5 linked regions of the Mus musculus genome follow. The protein of the gene in region 1 purifies or fractionates together with the protein of each later gene. This does not show direct contact. Links are inferred from orthologs where the notes say so. Each region holds a gene or a part of one and is shown on either strand. Other genes may lie near its edges.

Region 1 (4,105 bases):
GTCTATATAGCAAGTTCCAGAACAGCTGAGGCTACAGAGAGAGACCTTGTCTCCAAATAAATAAATGAATCAATCAATACTAAATGCAATGGCACACAAGAAATACTCAGCACATTTATCATGTGCACTAAGTAAAGAGCTATTCCCAACGCTTTAAATATTATCTCCCTGCTCAAAATTGTATGTTCAGCCTAACCTCTCCTGTTTCACATCTGTCGGTTAGATACATTCTCCCTAATGGCCCCTGGGCTTCTTAGAAGTTTCCCACTAGTCTCAGCCGAAGGAAAACCTTGCTTGCTCTCTCTAACATGTAACCATTCCCTCATATCTATCACTGCCTCAACCCAGCTTCTCCATTTAATTAGACGATGCTACTACCCAGCCATTTCACTTCTACCGAGAAGTCTGGGACTCTCTCTGAGCTCTCTCACTCTCTCATACCCCTCTTCAATTGTTACTTACGGCTCTAAGAAGCTTCAACAGCTTTTCCTCCAAAATACCTCCCTAAATTAACTACTGAGGTTTGAACCACAACACCCCCTCCTATCCAGATAGTCATAATGCCCCACAACTCAATCTCCAGCCTAGAACCACCCCCCTCACCCCCCACCCCCCTCAAGCTGTAAGGCTGACTAGAAGACAAACATTCTCAGCCAACCTAGACACACCAATATTATCTAGTTCCTGCAAGAGATCTGGGCCCTTTCCATCTCCTCCCGATGTCCGTGTTGAAAGGCTCTGGCCTGCTCTCCCACCCTCCTCCTTAAAGCTAATTTCTTACTGGGCAATGGTAGCATACTTTAATCCCATCAGTTGGGAGGCAGAGGCCAGGTGGATCTCTGTGAGTCTGAGGCCAGCCTGGTCTAGGTCTACAGAGCTAGTTCTAGGACAGCCAGGACTACGCAAAGAAACCCTGTCTAGAAAAAAAACAAACAAAAGATAGCCTCTTTTTTTTTTTTTTTTTTTTTTTTTGTTTGTTTGTTTGTTTGTTTTTCGAGACAGGGTTTCTCTGTATAGCTCTGGCTGTCCTGGAACTCACTTTGTAGACCAGGCTGGCCTCGAACTCAGAAATCCGCCTGCCTCTGCCTCCCAAGTGCTGGGATTAAAGGCGTGCGCCACCACTGCCCGGCGATAGCCTCTTTTTTGCCTCCAAGAGCTTATTTAGCTCACATGAGAACCAGAGAGGTCAAAGGGCTGACCCAGAACATAAGAACATCAAGAGATGAACACATCAGACTTGGTTGGGAAAACTTTTAATCCCAGGCAAAGGTAGGCAAATCTCTGAGTTTCAGTCCAGCTTGCTCTACATAGATAGCCAAGACTCCATAGCAAGACCCTGTCTCAGAAAAACAGAAAGGGAGAGAGGCGTGAAGAGATAAGAATGAGGACTGAAGCTGGGTGACAGTAGCCCTCGCCTTTGATACCAGCACTAGGGAGGCAGAGGCAGGCGGATCTCTATGGAGTTTAAGGCCAGAGTTCCAGGACATCTATGGCTACACAGTAAAACAGTCCCGGAAAGGGGGGGGGGGGGATAGGGAATGGAATGAGATGGTAAGAAGCCAGCAAGCAGCATTGTCAGGTAGGACACAGATGAAGGTGTCAGTGAAAACCTGAAAACCTGTCTGGAATAAGGCCTAGGGACATGGTTGAGGATGGTGACAAATTGCGGGGAGGGGCTACAGCAGAAAGCGAGAATTGGGGAAAGTGACTGGACTGAGAGCTGATAGCGAACAGCAAGAGCTCCGTAATAGATTGGAAACAGCCTTCACTAAGTGAGTAGTCAGCTGTGAGGATACAAAGTAGCAGGTGAAGAAGTTCCAGAAAGAAGAGGCGCATGGGAGAAGCAAAAGATGATGGGGGGGGGGGGGGAGTGGGAGAAAGACAGTGGGTGATGATGACAACTGGGGAACGACCCGGAAGAGGAATGGGATGGAAATAAAGGACAATAACAAAGCGAGCGCTTGGCAGTGGGCACTGGTAGGAGGAGATGAGCGAGCGGGGAGGGAACGCTTGATAGGTGGAAAGGTCACCACCAGCGGGGCCCCTGATGAGGAGGGTGGAAAAAAAAAAAAAACCCAAAGATGAGATAGGGAACACTGACAACTCCCCAGGCCCTGTATCCAAGGTCCGCCCCACCTCTACAGCCACCGACAGAGGTGAGGGACCTTGATAGGAGCAGAGGTGGACAACTGGGAGGGAGAGAACCAGGCGGCCACTAAGAGGCTGAGACTAATTCTGAGAGTGGGGAAAAACTGACCACTGACAGGCCAGGAGCTGGGATAGTAGCTAAAAGGGATGTTGACTGTCAAGAAGGGTGAGCGCTGAGGGAAGGGAAGGGATGGATGGATGGATGGATGGATGGATGAATGAATGACGGCAGTGGAGAGTGCTGGCTGACCGGGAAGCAGACTGATGGAGGCGCTGACCCCCTGACGAAGCGCAGGGTGACAAAGGCGCTGCTCTACTGACAGGGCGCTGACCGCACAAGCTGAGTGACAGCAGGACGCTGACGGCCCGAAGGCGGTGGGGGGTGGGGGTGTCCCTCCTGTCCCCGGGCCGCAGGAAGCGGTGGGCGCGCGGCCGCACTCACCTGCCCAGCAGGCTGGGGGTCGCAGCGACTCCTCCTCCGAGGGAGGCCCAAGCGAGGCCAGGACGCTCGCAGAGGTGAAGTGCGGACGGCCTGGAGCGGGCCGCACGCACATGGGCCCGACCCCGCGGCGCGGCGCCTTCGGACTCGGGCGCAGCCGGCGGGAGGCTCGGGACCCGCTCGGGACCGGCTCGGGGCCGCGGGCGAGATCGCTCCAAAATGGCGGCGGCGGCGGCGGGGGCGCGCGCGAGCGAGCGAGCGGGCCGGCGGGCGAGCGCGCGGACGGGGGAGGGGCGGGGGCGCGCCCCGGGGGCGGGGCCACCGGAGGAGGCACAGAGTGGCGGCCGCGGTCCAGGGTCTGTCTGGTGGAGTCGCGCTGGGGGAACGTCCTGAGGCGTCCCCGTGATCGAGCTGGCTGTGCTAAATAAATCCTCTGGGCACCTTCAAGTCCCCAGAGCGGTGCGCGCGCTCGTCTCCGCTACGTCCTGTTTCTGAACTGGACTGTCCGCTGATCTACTTGGTTTGTTTGTTTTTTTGGTTTTTTTTTTCCTTATTTATTTATTTATTTAATGTAAGTACACTGTAGCTGTCTTCAGATGCACCAGAAGAGGGCATCAGATTTCACTGCGGATGGCTGTGAGCCATCATGTGGTGGCTGGGATTTGAACTCAGGACCTTTGGAAGAGCAGTCAGTGCTCTTAACCGCTGAGCTAGCCCTTTTTACCTTTTTTTTTTTTTTTTTTTTTTTTTTTGGTTTTTCGAGATAGGGTTTCTCAGTGTAACAGAGCCCTGGCTGTCCCGGACTTGCTTTGTACACCAGGCTGGCCTCGAACTCACAAGAGATTCTCCTGTCTCTCTGCCTCTGCCTCTGTGTTGAGATCAAAGCCGTTTTGTTTTGTTTTGTTTTGTTGTTTAGTTTCGTTTTGTTTTGTTTTTTTTTTTTCTTTTCTTGGATACCGATCCTTGTTGTCCAGGGCTTGTGTACGTCACATACGTGGCCATCTAACATGGGTTGAAATGAGTTCAAATTAAATTAATCTCTAAAATGAGACTGATTTCCGGTGGCAGTGTGAGCCATGGGAAAATATCAAAAAAAAAAAAAAAGAAACATGTAAGGAATGTGTCAACACATGCTAGCTATGAACTCACTCACTCTCAGTGGCAAGTTCACTACCGCTGTGCGAAAGTATAAGCCGGCGTGGGTGGTTGCACTTGGGAGACCAAAGCAGGAGGAGTTTCAGGCAAGCAAAACATACTGGCGCACATCTTTAATACCAGAGGCAGGGGGGATCTCTGCCAGTTCGAGACTCGCCTACTCTACTCTACTCAGCGAGTTCCGGGTCAGCTAGGACTACAGAGTGTAAAAATGTCTAAGGGGGAGACATTTCTGGGCCCTTCCAAGATTTTTTTTTTCTTTGAAGTGGTGCTGCTGTGTTTCCCCCTTTTCTCAGCAGAGGGCGCCAAAGAGACACTGTTGGAGGAAAGGAAATCGATTTTTTTTGTTTTGTTTTCTTCCCC
Region 2 (4,303 bases), on another chromosome or scaffold:
TGCATGTTCTCTGACACGCAGAAGCGTGTGCGCATGTGTGTGCGCGTCTAGCCTAGAATTCAGAGGCCTGCCTGCCTGTTTTCCCCAGCACTGGGATTGAGGGTGCATGCCCACTCCTGGCAAGCTTAAGTTTTTGGAGACAAAGCTCTGCCTTATTCAGAAAGTACAATCGTTACCCAGAGACTGGGAAAGACAGCAGCACTGCCATTTTTTGCTCAATCCAGCAATTGGATCTTGCTAAGACCCTCCTGGGGGAACTAGAGCAACAACAGCTTCTAACGGAAGGTATCACTTAAGTGCCCAGATAGGCAGGGGGGCAAAGAGGGTGTCTGGGAACAGTGACCAGAGCTGGCCGTTTTTTTCTATGAAAAGCCACACGCCTGCTCTGTGTGGCCACTCTTTTTACATGTTGTAAATCCATTTTTTTTTTTTTTTCGAGACAGGGTTTCTCTGTATAGCTCTGGCTGTCCTGGAACTCACTTTGTAGACCAGGCTGGCCTTGAACTCAGAAATCCGCCTGCCTCCCCAGTGCTGGGATTAAAGGTGTGTGCCATTACGCCCCGGCTCATTTTTTTTTTTTCCTAAGTGAAGGCTGAACGGACACTTCGGCAGGGCAGACTTGGCCTTGGTATACCGGCATGCTAGCACTCTTCTAACCAGCTACCCCCCCACCTCTGACTAAAAAATTAATTTTTTCTATTTGGGGCTCTGGGCCACACAACTTGGAACAACCCAGGTAACCTTGCATCGCGGGGCAGACGTCCGGTGTTTCTTACATATCACAGGGCATAGGAATCATCTGAAGGTCTTGTTTGACCGGCAGGTCATGCCTGGGAAGTTTCTTTCCTTTGGGGTTAGTGGAGCGGTAGCTGAGGCTGATCTCGGCTAACTTGTAATCCTGAACCCACGCCCCTCCTTTGCCTTCTTAGGGAATTCCAGGTGCTGCAGATGCTGCTGGCCTCCTGCGTTGTTCAAGAGAAGGGTTGAGTTACTTCTCAGGGGCTGGGAGCCCCTAGTGCCACAGAGGAGATCGGTCCGTTGCGCCGTGAAGGTGCATCTGCCTGCTGAGCTTGCTCAGTTTTGGGTTTATTTAGGCTAGCCGGGGAGAGGGCTGTCCACCGCGGAGGCGGTGCACTCTCAAGCTACCGGTTGGCCTGGAGTTTCAGTTCTAGAAGGCCGGGTCCGGTGGAGGAAGGTGTTAGATCTTAACAGTTAGGAGAAGCCCCTGGAGGAGGCGCAGGTGAACCACATGAGCACGCCCCAGCCGAGGAGCAGAAAGCAGGACAGAATCCTGTTCTTCTAGGGATCTTCACGTAGTTGCTTCGTTCCTGGTTTCCCAGGCAATCCTGAGCAAACGCAGTCCTCCAGTCCCTGCCCATTAAAAATTTCGCCGGCAAGATCGGAGTTTAAAGGCGGCTGCGCCGTAGAGCACTCCCATGGTGCCGCGCGCTGGGCGGGTTTGTATTTTAAATCCCCGCGGCCAATCAGCAACGCGCAGGCCCTTGTAACGTTCCCAGCGCCGCGTTTGAATTCGGGGAGGAGCGGAGCAGAGCAGGACCCTCTGCACCGACTCAGCCAGGTTCGTGGAGCAACTTCGGCATCATGAATGCAGCGGCCAAAGCTGGAAAGCTGGCTCGAGCACCAGCCGACCTCGGGAAAGGTGGGGTTCCGGGAGATGCAGTTCCCGGTGCCCCAGTGGCCGCCCCGCTGGCGAAAGAAATTCCGGAGGTCCTAGTGGACCCACGCAGCCGGCGGCAGTATGTACGGGGGCGCTTTCTGGGTAAAGGAGGCTTCGCCAAATGCTTCGAGATCTCAGACGCAGACACAAAAGAGGTGTTCGCAGGCAAGATCGTGCCTAAGTCTTTGCTGCTCAAGCCCCACCAGAAGGAGAAGATGTCTATGGAGATCTCAATTCACCGCAGCCTAGCACACCAACACGTCGTAGGCTTCCATGACTTTTTTGAGGACAGCGACTTTGTATTTGTAGTTTTGGAGCTCTGTCGCAGGAGGGTGAGTGTTTCAGTCGCAGTGCTGGGGCTCCCACACCTGGAACTTGCTGACAAAGGGGCACCGAGGTTTTGGAGTGACCTAGAGGAGTGGTTGGGTTTCAAACTTTTATGGAAAGGCTTCTAGCGAGGGTACTTGGCACTCCGAACTGCTGAGGCCGGGGTTCTGGGGAAACCGAGACCAGATCCTGTTGCTATTAGGGATGGAGCTCCCAGACGCAAGGCAGCGAGTCGGTACAGGAAATGGATTCATAAAGTGGCTAAGGAAGGGTCCCAGGCTTGGTGTGCCACGCACCTCTAACTTCCGGAGTGGGGCAGGGTCGGGGGAGGGGGCGGCTGTTTGGAGTCAGATTTTAGAGCTTTCAGGAAAGGGAGGGAATCTCCTGCCAGGAGGAAGCCCTGGGTAGGGGAGTCGAGAGTGGGGTTGAGAGAAGACTCAGGAGAGGGTCTGGTGAATGATAGTGACCAACCAGTGTATGGGTAGAACTATCAGAAACCTGCTAAGACTCTCCACTCCGAGCGTCTAGTCCTAGCCACATCCAGCTAGCCACTCTTCTTGGACTTCAGTGACCTCTTTCTCCCTCCTCAGTCCCTCCTGGAGCTGCACAAGAGGAGGAAGGCACTGACCGAGCCTGAGGCCCGCTACTACCTGCGACAGATAGTCCTGGGCTGCCAGTACCTGCACCGCAATCAGGTCATTCACAGGGACCTCAAGCTGGGCAACCTCTTCCTGAACGAGGATCTGGAGGTGAAAATAGGTGAGGTGCTGGGCCTTCGGGTGTCTGGTGTCAGGGCAGGAGGGGACAAGGAGGGGAAGGTGAGGAAATAGAGATGCTGCCCTCTAGTTAGGAAGTGGAAAGTGTGTGTGTGTGTGTGTGTGTGTGTGTGTGTGTTTGTGTGTGTGTGACACTTTCCTTGCCTTTTTTTTAGATGCATTGGTGTTTATGCCTCAACTCAGTAGTTTTGAACTTGGGGCCCCTCCCCCAAATGCTTCTCTATAACCTAGCACTGAGCCAGACCCTCAGCCAATTTCAGGTCTGGACTTACGCTGTAGAGTATGGCAGGCAGCATCTCCTCAGGTGTCTCTTTACTAAGCTGAAAAACCTGCCCCCTTGAGTCTGATTGGCCAGTCCCTAGATCCCTGTCACTTCTCCACACACTTGCCCAGCAGCAGTCACGAAGATCATCTACTTGATTCCCCAGTGCATCTAATTCTGCTATCCTGTGCATTTTAAATTTCATTTACTTATGAATGGAGACAGGCTAACTTCAAGGAGTCAGTTCTTTCTTTCCACTGTGTGGGTCCCAGGATCGACGTAGATCATGTTATCAGTCTTGGCAGCAAGCCCCTTTACCTCCTGAGCCACCTTAACCACCGTAACCCTGCTATCTAAAGAGGTGTGTGGGAGGCTGGCTAGGGCCAGTACAGTGGAAGGGTTCAGGGACTCTGGGGCCTCAAGCCACTAGTTCTCAATGCTCAGGATCAAAACAGAGCTGCCTGCAACCACAGACAGCCCGGGCTTAGCAGCTGAGCACCCTCTCTTCTTTCCTCTGTCCCAGGGGATTTTGGCTTGGCAACCAAAGTGGAATATGAAGGGGAACGAAAGAAGACCTTGTGTGGCACTCCTAACTACATAGCTCCTGAGGTGCTGAGCAAGAAGGGACACAGTTTTGAGGTGGATGTGTGGTCCATTGGGTGCATCATGTAAGTTGGCAATGGCCTTGGCTCCTGGGCCTCAGCAGGGCTTTCTGAGGCTTCTCACCCAGTTGACTTTGCCATGTGAATCTTTCTACCTTATAGAAAGGCTGTTTTAGTGGACAGGCTGTCCCACATGAAACCCTGCTTTTCATATATCAGTCTGGCGTAGGCTGTTGGATTCCTGTAACTTGACTTGTTGGTCCAGGGAAGGGATCAAAAAGTCCCTGAACTTTTCCTCCTGGCCCTTGGTGCTTACTAAAAGTATGCACAGATCCAAACCATCAACACCTGAGAGCTTGTTAGGAATTCAGAATTTCAGATCTGAACCTGGGTTTAATACAATCCCTGCCTGACTTTCCATGGAGCATTGGAAGTCCTGCTGAGTGCTGAAGGGAGAACTAGGCCAGTAGAAAGCCTGGCGATAGGCAGAACCACCACGGTGGCCTGTGGTGGATAGCAGTGGCCTCTGGGGCACTGGGAGAGTCCTCGGTCACTGTAGGCCAGAGCCGTCAATTCCTGGCCCCTTGGTACACAGGTGTTGTCACTTGCATCCTTCTGAGGGCTTGTCCCAGCCTTTGGTTGCTGTGTCACTGGACTG
Region 3 (3,511 bases), on another chromosome or scaffold:
ATGGGTATGTACCTTTTAAATTTGCTTTTGACTGTGTATTTAGGGGAATTAATGCATTTTGGTTTTTGCATTTCTGTATTTTTATATAACTGAGTTATGCAGTATCTGAGATTGCTGCCCAAGCAGACCAGGTAGAGGAGACGTGCTGCAGCAGTGCACTAGATCTAGTTTATAGAAATTTAGAAGAGGCATCGCAGATGGTGGCCTGGAATGGTTAACTTGCAGTGAGTGTTTACTGAAAGCTCATTCACATATCCATTCCTCTTTTACTGGATGATTAAAGTATGAGTTGTGAAGATGCATTGAGAAGTTGCATTTTACTAAACTGGAGGTAAAGCTGAAGCGTTGCTGTGTTTGCTTTGTATGCACAAGGCCTTGAGTTCAATCTCTGTCTCTGAAAAAACTAAACCCTATTATTATAAGCAGTGTGTGTGTTTTCACAGATGCACAGTATCATTCCTCAGGAATTCTTCACCTTATTTTCTGAGTCATGGCCTCTGACTAGGACCTAGGATTGTATTAGACAGACTAGCTAACGAGTCCAAGAGACCTACTTGTTCCCAGCTCCCCAGCACTGGCATTAGAAGTGCGCACTTCCACCCCTAAGGATACCATTTTAGTCACATATCCTATTTTGATGGCCAAAATCCGAAAATGTGATGTTTAGTGCCAAAAATAAGTGCCTCTTCTTATATAAGGAAAATCTTTCTTGTTAATTGAAGGTAAAATGCCAGGAGGGGTTTCATCCTGAAGTCTTTCACTCTGTGTGCAATCTTACATCCTTACGTCTCTGAAGACTTTCCTGAGTAATCTGTTGTAGGCTAATGATCGGGGCAGTTTAGAAACAGTGTATATGATTTTAAACAACACATTCTGTGTTTAAAAGGTATATGCACAGTAAGTGGAGTATAGTTGGCCTTTCACTTGGAAGGAATTAGGTTTGACATAACAGACTTTCATGAAATGAAAGCCAGAATAATATTGTTTGAAGTTGAGCTTCTGAAATAGTTAAGTATGTGGTCCTCAGTCTGGGCCTTAGCATGGATTGCTTGTCCTCGGTATAGATGATTATGATTAAAAGGGTATTCTATGCTTTGAAGATAGCAGTACATGCTTGATCTACCTTGTGTTGCTATAACAGAATACCCAAACTTAGGTAATTTATTCTGAGCAGAATTTCATTTCTTTCAAATTTTGGAGCTTTGGCAGTCCAAGTGAGGGTTCTGTCATCTGGTCAGTACCTCCCTTCTTGCTGTGTCATGCCATGACCTGACAGAGCACATCATCACAAGGTAAAAGGGAAAGAAGGAGATGTTAAATGACCTTGAGATAGAGGAACAAGATCTAGTCAAGGTTAACACTAGAAGTAAATTGTATTGTTTTTAGTTATTCTCTCTACCAATATTTTTCAAAAATAATCTGAATTCGTCTTGAATTCATTATGCATTAGAAAATTAATGTGCTATTTTATATTTAATAATTTCTATGTGCTAATGGTTTTTTGCTTGTTTCTTTGGTTTTTTTTTGTTGTTGTTTGTTTTATGTATTTTTAGGTCACATTGAAGTAGTAAAATTACTTGTATCTCATGGAGCTGAAGTGACATGTAAGGATAAGAAGTCTTACACACCTCTTCATGCAGCAGCCTCTAGTGGAATGATCAGTGTAGTCAAATATCTTCTAGATCTTGGAGTTGATGTAGGTATATAGCTTGAGCAGTATAAATTCATGTATTCTGTGTTTTGTTATTCTGTTATCAGAACTTAGGTTTGAAAGATAACAGTAATATCTTTGTCCTCTTACCAAGTCTTTCTAACTCTTCACTAGCTAGTATACTGCTATGATCAGTACATGTATCTAGTGAGGATTGCCATCCTGTGATGAAACACCATGACCAACAGCAACCTGGGGAGAAGGGAGTTCATTCAGCTTATGCTTCCATGTCACTTCCATCACCAAAGGAAGTCAGAACAGGATCCTGGAGGCAGGAACTGGTCCAGAAGCCATGGAGGAGTACTGCTTACTGGCTTGCTCATACATAGCTTGCTCATCTCACTTTCTCTTAAACCCTGGATGACCATCCCAGGGATGACATCACTCACAATGGGCTGGGCCCTGTCATCAATCATCAATTAAAAAAAATGAACTATAGATTTGTATATAGCCCAGTTTTATGGAGGCAGTTTCTCAATTGAGGTTCCTTCCTCTAAGATGACTCTTGATTGTGTCAAGGTGACATAAAATTAGCCAGTATAATTAGACAAACTATGTAAAGAGTTAAAACCTATTCCAAAGATGAGTGATTTACCCAAAGTTTCTTTTTTTAGTTCCTGTAGCTCTGTTTCTTCCAGTTCTCTGGGTGCTAGCAGATCAGATACATGTTGACTAGGTAGCTGTGTTATTGTCAGTTTTCTGAGCCAGTAAGTCTAACTTTACTTTAAGTGACTATAGAATAATGGGATACTGGCAAATGCAAGAGAGGAAGACAACAAAAGATGTATTTATTATACGTATATATAAATAAAAATGTGTGTGTGTACTATAAACACTATATAAGCACTGTATAGTACTACCATTCTTTTTGGCTAGGAAGGGATACTAATCTCTTGGTATATATTTGATGCCTAAATAAAAATCCATCTAGCTTTTATGTATCATTTTAAAAACATGTCCTTTACTCCCACTTGTAATAGATTTACTCTTTTGGTTTGGGGGACAGTCTCATTGTATAGCCCAAGTTGGCCTCAAATTTGGAATCCTTCTGTCTCAATTTGCAAGTGCTTGCATAATAGGTGTGTGCCACTCTCCCTGCTCTAATGTTATTTACTCTTATTGTAGGAACATGTGAGTTAAGCTTACCAATTTTTCAAAGCAGTAGATAAGGAGAAAGGAGAGAACAAAGAGAGGAAGACTATAAGGTCTTAATTGCAAAAGCTGTCAAAAAGCTTGTGATTCTAGTTAGACAAGACATGACAGGACTATGAGAAACACTTTACTGAAAACAAGGAATACATGGAAAATGTGGGAATTAGAAGAAGTTGCAAAACACCCAAACATATTGTTGAATGGGACCCCGAGAAGTACAAGATGGCTTCAAGTTTCAGTTTGCTAACAGTTCTTGTAGCTCTCTTTCAACCAATTAGCATAATGGCTTTAGTGGCCCTCTGAAATAGATGACCGAGGTATGCTTGCCTCCAATCACCATTTATAGTGAATTCTCTCTTAGCTCAAAGACTTTTGAAAATCCATTATTTTTCTTTTCTTAAAATAACTCTTGTGGAAGAATTTAACATTGTATTATGAAGCACATTCTCTAAGTGTATGTAGCCCATATAAAACTAAGTTGCTTATTGTTAGGTCTATTATTGTAAAACAACTTTAGCATTATAAACCTCATGTCTGTATTTATCCCTTTTTCTATTACTAGTAATTTAAAGTAGCTTATAGTAGTAATAGAATTCCCATTCCCATTTTTTCCTCTAGATGAATGAACCAAATGCCTATGGAAACACA
Region 4 (3,946 bases), on another chromosome or scaffold:
TGAACCACCTGCCCAGGCCCAACACTTTCTTGTTGGCTAATGGATATAGGCAGACCCGGTCCACTGTGGGTAGTACCATCCCTAGTCAGGTGGCCCTAAATTAGATAAGAGATCTGGTTAAGCTTGAGCCTGGGTTCATTCCTCCCTGGGTTCTTCGTTCAAGTTCAAGTCTGAGTTTCTGCCCTAAGTTTTCTCAAAGATGGACTAAACCCTTTCCTTCTTTTAGTTGGTTTGGTCATTGTTATCGTAGCAACACAAAGGAACTGGGGCTCATGATGTAGCCAGGACAGTTCTTGAATACACAATCCTCCTGCTTCAGGTTCCAGAGCGCAGGAATCTTATAAATGATTCACACCTGGCTCTAAAGCATCTTTTATAAATTGTACCCATCTATCAGTCTCCACTTTTCTTTCTCCCTCGGCCAACTGTCCCTGATTGGCTGCCTCTTTTGACCTCTCCAATGGGTGAGGGGGAGTTCCTCTCTACTGCCTTTTTACCGGGAGAAACAGTTACTACCCTAATCTGGCAGGGTAATTATGGAGTTGCTGTTGGGCTTAGAGGCCTTTCTTCAGCTGCCAAGTGTCCAGCTCTTCACGGAGGCTTCCTGAAGCAGGAGTCTTTTGAGATTTTTCTGCAGCTTAGCAATCTTGCTATTTTCTTTCTACCCAGTGGAGACTGGTTCTGGGGCCATCTATAAGTCTCGGGTCGCCACACTCCGAGTTTCCACTATCTCTGGGGTACTTGGGGGTGTGAGTACGGTCGGAGGCGTCCGCTCTACCGGAGCATTGTGGGCTGGGTGAGCTCTCGCCCGCTGTTTGGTCCTGGGCTCGGGAGTCACTGGGGGAGCGAGACCCGACTCCGTGCCATGGGCCTGCGAGAGACCCCTCGGGCCGCCCGACTGCAACGGAGGGCACAGCGCGGTCCGCTGGCGGAGCTGCGGAACCCGCGCGCGGGGTAGGGGGAGCCCGGGCCGCCCTGGCCGTCCTGGCGCGGGGCGAGGGCGCCGAGGCCTGGGCAGCCTGCGCGGACAGCGAGCACCCCGAGGCCCGGCCAAGGCTCGCCGCCAGGGAGCGCTGCGGGCTCCCGCTCGCCCGCCCCCCGGTAGGCGGGGCCGCCCTCTCCCCGCAGCCGCCGCCGCAGCCGCCGCCTGGGCCGCCCCGTGTCCCCGGTGGAGCCGCCGCCGCCGCTGCCGCCGCTGCCGCGAGCTCGATGCGGACGGAGCCTGGGCCGGGCCATGGGGATCCTCAGCATCACGGACCAGGTCAGCCCTCCCACCCTTCCCCACTTCCTCTTCCCAGGCCCCGGCACCGCCGCCACGCGAGCCCGGGGATGTGCGGCCTAGGCTGGGCCCGAGCCCGGGGTTCCCGCGGCTCCCGCCGCGCCCCACGCCGTGCTCCACTCCGTGGAGCGGGTGTCCTTGGGGGCCTGGCGACCGGTGGGGGCACGGCGGGAATCCGCTGCAGCCAGGACCCCTGTAGCGGAGCCCCTCCAGCGACGCCCCCCTCCAACCTGTGTGCTCCCCCACCTCCTGGTAACGCCGTGGCTCGGGCCCGCTCCCTGAAAGCTGGTTCTCCCTGCAGCCGCCCCTGGTCCAGGCCATCTTTAGCCGAGATGTGGAGGAAGTGCGTTCCCTCCTCTCGCAGAAGGAGAACATCAATGTACTGGTGAGTTGGGAGCAGGGAGGATGGCGAGCCGGAATCCGGAGGGGTTCGGGACCCCTCCCCACAAGTGGGGCGGCTCCGTTTCTCCTCTGCTCTGATGAAACTGCAGCTCTTTCTACCCAGAAATGGGAGCCTGCTCCGCATTTAAGGTTGGTCAGGCATGGAGCACCGATCATGGGTTCTGGGGATGCCCAGAAAACCCTGTCCCCTTCTCAACCATCGGGGTCTGCAGCGCCCCCACCCCTCCGGGAAGGAGTAGGTTTCTTGGTCGGTAGCCCTGACTCCACCCTCCCAGGATGCTGGCTTTTGAAGCCCGATATTGGGATTTAAGACCCTGCAGAAGAACCTAGAGGAAGGGAAGGGCTTGGAGTTCTCATACTAGAACTGGCGTTCAGGATAATTTCTCTCTACAGCTGCTTCTCTTTTCTGCCTTTCCAGGACCAAGAGAGGCGAACCCCATTGCATGCTGCTGCCTACGTAGGCGATGTCCCCATCCTCCAGTTGCTACTGATGTCAGGTGAAAGTGGGGAGCTGGGAGGTGCGGCATCTAGGGAGGGGAGAAGTCTTTTTAGATCCGAGGATTGATTGCTGGTGCTTGGTACAAGAATGGCTTTCTGTCCGTTCAGGTTCCCCACTCTGATTATTGGTTTCCTTCCCTCCCCCTCCTCAAATCCCAACAAAATAGCAAATTGTGTCCACACAGGTGCTAACGTCAACGCTAAGGACACACTGTGGCTGACCCCTCTTCATCGTGCCGCTGCCTCCCGAAACGAGGTACAGACCCTACCTCATTTCTCCCTTTCAAAAAGGATGGGCTGAGGGCTAGAGAAACTCAGTTCTCTGCCCTACAGACTCTTCTGCCCCACACAGGGAGGAGACCAGAGTTTGGCTTCTCCTTCCTGCCCCTAGAACTGGCTGGGGGGGGGGGGGCTGAGTGCTGCCAGCTGATGTGACGTCAGGGAGAGAGCTTAACACTGGGCTGGCAGACTGCGGGGGCCCTGCTGCCAGGCCTGAGTGACTCATCCCTCCCTGGGGGCCACCTTAAGTCTGATCCCCCTCTGGGCACTGAGATTTCTCTCCTTGTGATGGGGTGGGGAGTAGCAATTCTGTGTCCTTGCCCCTCGAGCAACATTTAAGTTGACTGCCTAAGGGCCCAAACTCATATGGAGTCCTGTACAATGGTGTTATCAACCCTGAAGAGGAAGGGAAGGCCTCTTTGATCTCCCATCACTTCCTTGGCTCCAGCTCCCAGGGGGAGAGAGCTTAAGGCCAGTGGGAATGGTGTGGGACATGTTTAACGGGAACATTGAATTTCGAAGGGGATCCAGTTATGCTTGTTTATTGGGGTTATATGATTTTGGTGTCTGTGGAAGGGCTAAGGGAAAGGATGTTTTTGCCATTAATACAGTGGGAGCCATTTGTTTTTCCTGGAATTAGGCTTGGGGTGTGTGGATTTGCCCAGGGTGGGTGTGAGTGGAGATTTTCGGGGACCTAAGTTGGAGGGTGGTAGATGCTAAGTGGCATGGGGAAGAGATCCCTGTTTTCCTCAGCAAAACAAAGATGTTTAAGCTCCAACAACCTCAGGTCTGGAGAGGCTAGGTGTGTAAAGGAAAGGAAGAGATACCATGCTAGGAAGATGGATGACTAGTCACCATACCAGCCCCTTCCTTCTGTCCTCTTATGTCACTTCCTGCTCCCCTCTGTCTTCTCTTGTCCCTTGCTCCACCACAGAAGGTGCTGGGGCTGCTGTTGGCACACTCAGCGGATGTGAATGCCCGGGACAAGCTGTGGCAGACACCACTGCATGTGGCTGCTGCCAACCGGGCCACCAAGTGTGCAGAGGCTCTGGCACCCCTGTTGAGCAGTCTCAATGTGGCTGACAGGAGCGGGCGCAGCGCTCTACACCATGCAGTACACAGTGGGCATCTTGAGGTGAGGAGCATTGCAGTCTAGACACAGTCTTCTCTCTGTTCCTTCTCACCCATAACTTACGTGCTTCCAGACCCAATGGGCAGGAGTGGCTCAGATAGTTATTTAGATACTGGGGCCCTGCCCCAGAGGAATGATTGTGTTAACCAGAGGGTTTTGTTGGGGGGGGGGGGATGTTTGTTTTTGAGATAGAGTCTCACTATGCATGCTTGTCTGGCCTGGAGCTTGCTATGTAGACAGCCTTGAACTTGAACTCACTGAGATCCCCCTGCCTCTGCTTTCTGAGTGCTCAGGTTAAAGGTACGCTAGCATCCACAGCTTATATTGAGTTTTTATTGATTTATTTTATATTTATT
Region 5 (3,511 bases), on another chromosome or scaffold:
AGTGGTTAAGGAAGCGGGGTTTGAGTCGGTCGAGTCCTCCCTTAGGGCGCGTGCACAATAAGGCAGCTTCAGCCGCCTCCCCTTTACTTTACTTATTAAAGAGTTGTTTATATATTTATATCTTTTGTGGATGAATGTTTGCCTGCATGTAGCCAGAAGAGAGGGTCAGATCTGGCTCTGGAGTTATAGGTGGTTGTGAGTCACCGCGTGGATGCTGGGAATGGGAGCCAGAGCCTCTGAGAGGGCAGGCAGTGCTCTTGACTGCTCAGTCCTCTCTCTGCCCCCCATTCCCATTTGTCATACAAGATATTAGGGGTTTTGTTAGACTGCAAAGGACACTTGGTTCTTGGGGTAGCAGCAGCCTTTCCTGAAGCCATAACGCCTGTCTTCTCTCCATCTCAGACCACTGTTCCCTTCGGTCCGAAACGCGTCTTGGTGACTGAGCAGATTCCGTCTCAGAACCTAGGATCTGCTAGCAGTGGCCAGGCCCAGCGGGTCCTGTGTCCTTCTAACTCCCAGCGTGTCCCTTCACAAGCCCAGAAACTTGGAGCAGGTCAGAAGCCGGCACCAAAGCAGTTGCCAGCTGCCAGTGTTCCTAGGCCTGTGTCCCGGCTCAATAACCCCCAGAAGAATGAGCAGCCTGCAGCCTCCGGTAAGTGGTCTTGGGTGCTCAAATGCATAGCTTGGCGTTTATCCTTGATGTCCTAGCCTCTGTACCATGTCTGTTGAGGAGGAGAGAAAGAATGAGATCTCCATGCTCAGGTGTATGTCACACATGTCAGTGTGTCTGGGTTTGGGCTCCACCAGTGCTGGGATGCAGATACCATTGCTGGCCAAGCTCGCAGATGTCCTCTGCCCGGAGCAGAAGGAAATGTTGGATGTAATGGAGAGACTTCTGGGTTCCCAGGGCCTGGGAGGGAGGAGTTCCCCAGCATGGAGAGGGGAGTTGGAGGGTCCTTCCTGACAGGCTAGCTGGCAGAGGAGATGAGTTGGCTAGAGGAGGGAGGGAGCCAGGTGAGGTGGTAAGGGGGATGTTGGACTTTTCATTACATTACATGTCCAGGCTCACAAGTTCAGTCATAATTAGAAAATACAAACAGAGCACCACCTCCTCCCCCATCCCCCCTCCTCCTCCTTCTTCCCCCTCCTTTTCCTCCTCTTCTTCCTCTCCTCTTCCTCCTCTCCTCCTCCTCCTCCTCCTTCTCCTTCTTCTTCTTTTTGGTTTTTCGAGATAGGATTTCTCTGTGCAGCCCTGGCTGTTCTGGAACTCACTCTGTAGACCAGGCTGGCTTCGAACTCAGAAATCCGCCTGCCTCTGCCTCCCAAGTGCTGGGATTAAAGGTGTGCGCCACCACTGCCCAGCAGATTCTTCTTATTAACCTATAACTTCAATTTAAAGACTCTAAAGAATGTCACCTCCAAAACAAACACATTTGTTATATGACATCCTACTTTTAAGATGGCAGTGTTTGCTGTTTGAAAGCACTCCAGACAGACAGAGAATATCTGAACCCATCTTTTCATGAGCAAATACTAATGCCCAACTTCTTTTACTGTTTCACCATCTACACTATAAAGTAGGACAAGCCCCTTTCAGTCAGTCTATTTACTGAGTTTTATTCCTTTAGGAGTGTACCCTGCATGACTCCCTATTTTTAAACTTCATTTTTAGAGACCTCTAAGCCTATACTAAAAAGAGATGTTGAATCCGTAGCCTGTTCTCCTACCCAGTCAGAGTTTGTCAGTTGTCTCTGTTTGCCCTGCATCAATTATACTGTTTGAGTTTGCTCAGGGGCAGATAGCCCAGGAAGGTTCCTGGAGTGATGGCCTCATCTAGCTATGTACTTATCTGTGCTTAATGATCTCCAGGGCATTAGGAAGACTTCCAAATAGTGACCAGATAAAGTTAATTTTAGGATTCCTCAAAAGACTCAGACATAGTTTTTTTCAGGAAGACACAAAAGGAATCCTAATGCAGAAAGTCCCTGCTAACATGGCAACCATAACCCCACACAATCACACAGAGACCAAATCTCAAAGGTTAGAGAGAGGACAGCGATTGCAGCCATTGGCTCAGCATTACTGGGCCTGGGTGGGTCAAGCAGCGTTGCAGGCTCCAGGACTTTCACTGTGTAGTGGGTTTGGCTGTGTCAGAACCGGGCTGATGTTGGGATTGTTTGGCAGCTGGTGGGTGCTTACAGCGCCTCTGGGATTGCCTTGACCTGCATCCTCCCAGCCCTGGCAGGCACTCACGTAGACAGCATGTTACACAGAAGAGACTAAAACGCAGCAGTTAACTTAGCCCAGGACAACTCCAGAAAGGAGAGGCACGGGCAAACCTGCCACTTCGTTTAGGAAGCAGATGCAAGACCAGTGCGTGATAAGACCTGAAAGATGGGATGGGAGGAGATAGCTGTAGCAGTGTAAGGAGGGAGAGAACTCAGGCTGGGCCTCATGAAGAAAAACAGTCTGTACAAATGAGTCAAGGCAGACAGCTAAGTCTGGAGAAAACCCATGTGAATCGAGTGCATATGTACTAGTCACAAAGCAGGAAACCGGAAGGGGCAGATGGCTGAAGCTTATGTAGTATCATTCAGCAAGGGAGAGATGCTCCAGCAAGCTCTGAGGGCAGAGGAGCAGATGGAGGCAAAGGAAGCCAGTGCTGCCCTCAGACCCACCTCTCAGCTGGGCCACTGTCACTCCACCATCCGAAACACACTCGGCTGGAGTGGATTTTGGGTGGCTTCTTCTGGTTTCAAGTCCTGTTTGGGGTCATTGTGAAAGTAAGTTTTATTCACCTGAAGTAATTGTCGTCTGGGAAGCTTACTCCGTCTGCTAACCTGGGCCTGGGCCTGGAAACTCCCAGCCTCTGTGTAATCTAGTCTAGGCCTAGGACTGTCTGGCCTCTCAGATCTCCTGCAGAACACGCTTACCGTTCTAGCTCTTTCTGAACTCTATTGGTTGGTGTAACTCAGCTGTCCTGGCTCAAACTCCTGTCCAAGCTGACGGATTCAATCTGGCTTCTCTTAGTTTCTTACTGAATTGCTTAAAAGAACTTTATTTAACTTATTTCCTAGGAAATGATTCTGAAAAGGAGCAGGCATCCTTGCAGAAGACCGAAGACACAAAAAAGTAAGCTTGCTGTCTCTGCTACGAGAGCACCCGTCGGGCTGTGCGACACTTGTCTTCATGCCATCCCCACTAAACTCAAACTTAGCAGGGGCTCAAAAGTAGTTCTTTTTATTTCCTTAATTACTTTTTCATAGAAGATTTTTGTTAAAACTTTATTTTAAAAAGTAGTAAAAACAAACCAAAAAAAAAAACCCAAACAAAAAACCAAAAACCTGCCAAAGATGCTACAATCCCATGAACTTGTACACAATTTGGATAGTAATTTGGAGTGGCCTGTTGGCCCTTCCCTGCTCCTACCAGTGACAGTGGCTCTGTGTTTCCCACCAGAGTGACTCTCGAACCCACAGCCTGTTAGCTTCTCTGGGGATGCAGGGAGGAG

Evidence for each region.
Region 2: the proteins of Ppp6r2 (region 1) and Plk1 purify together in Homo sapiens (affinity purification with mass spectrometry; 7 studies listed by BioGRID and IntAct, counting the BioPlex papers as one, with this or other methods). This does not show direct contact. The link is inferred for Mus musculus from reciprocal best matches to the Homo sapiens genes PPP6R2 and PLK1.
Region 3: the proteins of Ppp6r2 (region 1) and Ankrd28 purify together in Homo sapiens (co-immunoprecipitation; 4 studies listed by BioGRID and IntAct, counting the BioPlex papers as one, with this or other methods). This does not show direct contact. The link is inferred for Mus musculus from reciprocal best matches to the Homo sapiens genes PPP6R2 and ANKRD28.
Region 4: the proteins of Ppp6r2 (region 1) and Ankrd52 purify together in Homo sapiens (affinity purification with mass spectrometry; 3 studies listed by BioGRID and IntAct, counting the BioPlex papers as one, with this or other methods). This does not show direct contact. The link is inferred for Mus musculus from reciprocal best matches to the Homo sapiens genes PPP6R2 and ANKRD52.
Region 5: the proteins of Ppp6r2 (region 1) and Aurka purify together in Homo sapiens (affinity purification with mass spectrometry; 4 studies listed by BioGRID and IntAct, counting the BioPlex papers as one, with this or other methods). This does not show direct contact. The link is inferred for Mus musculus from reciprocal best matches to the Homo sapiens genes PPP6R2 and AURKA.

The regions. Positions count from the first base shown.
Region 1 is NC_000081.6:89,210,265-89,214,369, reverse strand, and holds the start of Ppp6r2 (serine/threonine-protein phosphatase 6 regulatory subunit 2), read right to left. Parts: upstream 2,812-4,105; 5' UTR 2,591-2,811; intron 1-2,590. UniProt on the Homo sapiens protein: Regulatory subunit of protein phosphatase 6 (PP6). May function as a scaffolding PP6 subunit. Involved in the PP6-mediated dephosphorylation of NFKBIE opposing its degradation in response to TNF-alpha.
Region 2 is NC_000073.6:122,157,941-122,162,243, forward strand, and holds the start of Plk1 (serine/threonine-protein kinase PLK1), read left to right. Parts: upstream 1-1,494; 5' UTR 1,495-1,602; coding exon 1,603-2,010; intron 2,011-2,595; coding exon 2,596-2,764; intron 2,765-3,566; coding exon 3,567-3,711; intron 3,712-4,303. UniProt on the Homo sapiens protein: Serine/threonine-protein kinase that performs several important functions throughout M phase of the cell cycle, including the regulation of centrosome maturation and spindle assembly, the removal of cohesins from chromosome arms, the inactivation of anaphase-promoting complex/cyclosome (APC/C) inhibitors, and the regulation of mitotic exit and cytokinesis.
Region 3 is NC_000080.6:31,743,406-31,746,916, reverse strand, and holds part of Ankrd28 (serine/threonine-protein phosphatase 6 regulatory ankyrin repeat subunit A), read left to right. Parts: coding exon 1-4; intron 5-1,553; coding exon 1,554-1,696; intron 1,697-3,481; coding exon 3,482-3,511. UniProt on the Homo sapiens protein: Regulatory subunit of protein phosphatase 6 (PP6) that may be involved in the recognition of phosphoprotein substrates. Involved in the PP6-mediated dephosphorylation of NFKBIE opposing its degradation in response to TNF-alpha.
Region 4 is NC_000076.6:128,375,989-128,379,934, forward strand, and holds the start of Ankrd52 (serine/threonine-protein phosphatase 6 regulatory ankyrin repeat subunit C), read left to right. Parts: upstream 1-1,135; 5' UTR 1,136-1,234; coding exon 1,235-1,261; intron 1,262-1,580; coding exon 1,581-1,664; intron 1,665-2,099; coding exon 2,100-2,178; intron 2,179-2,364; coding exon 2,365-2,435; intron 2,436-3,392; coding exon 3,393-3,593; intron 3,594-3,946. UniProt on the Homo sapiens protein: Putative regulatory subunit of protein phosphatase 6 (PP6) that may be involved in the recognition of phosphoprotein substrates.
Region 5 is NC_000068.7:172,364,063-172,367,573, reverse strand, and holds part of Aurka (aurora kinase A), read left to right. Parts: intron 1-402; coding exon 403-652; intron 653-3,077; coding exon 3,078-3,132; intron 3,133-3,511. UniProt on the Homo sapiens protein: Mitotic serine/threonine kinase that contributes to the regulation of cell cycle progression.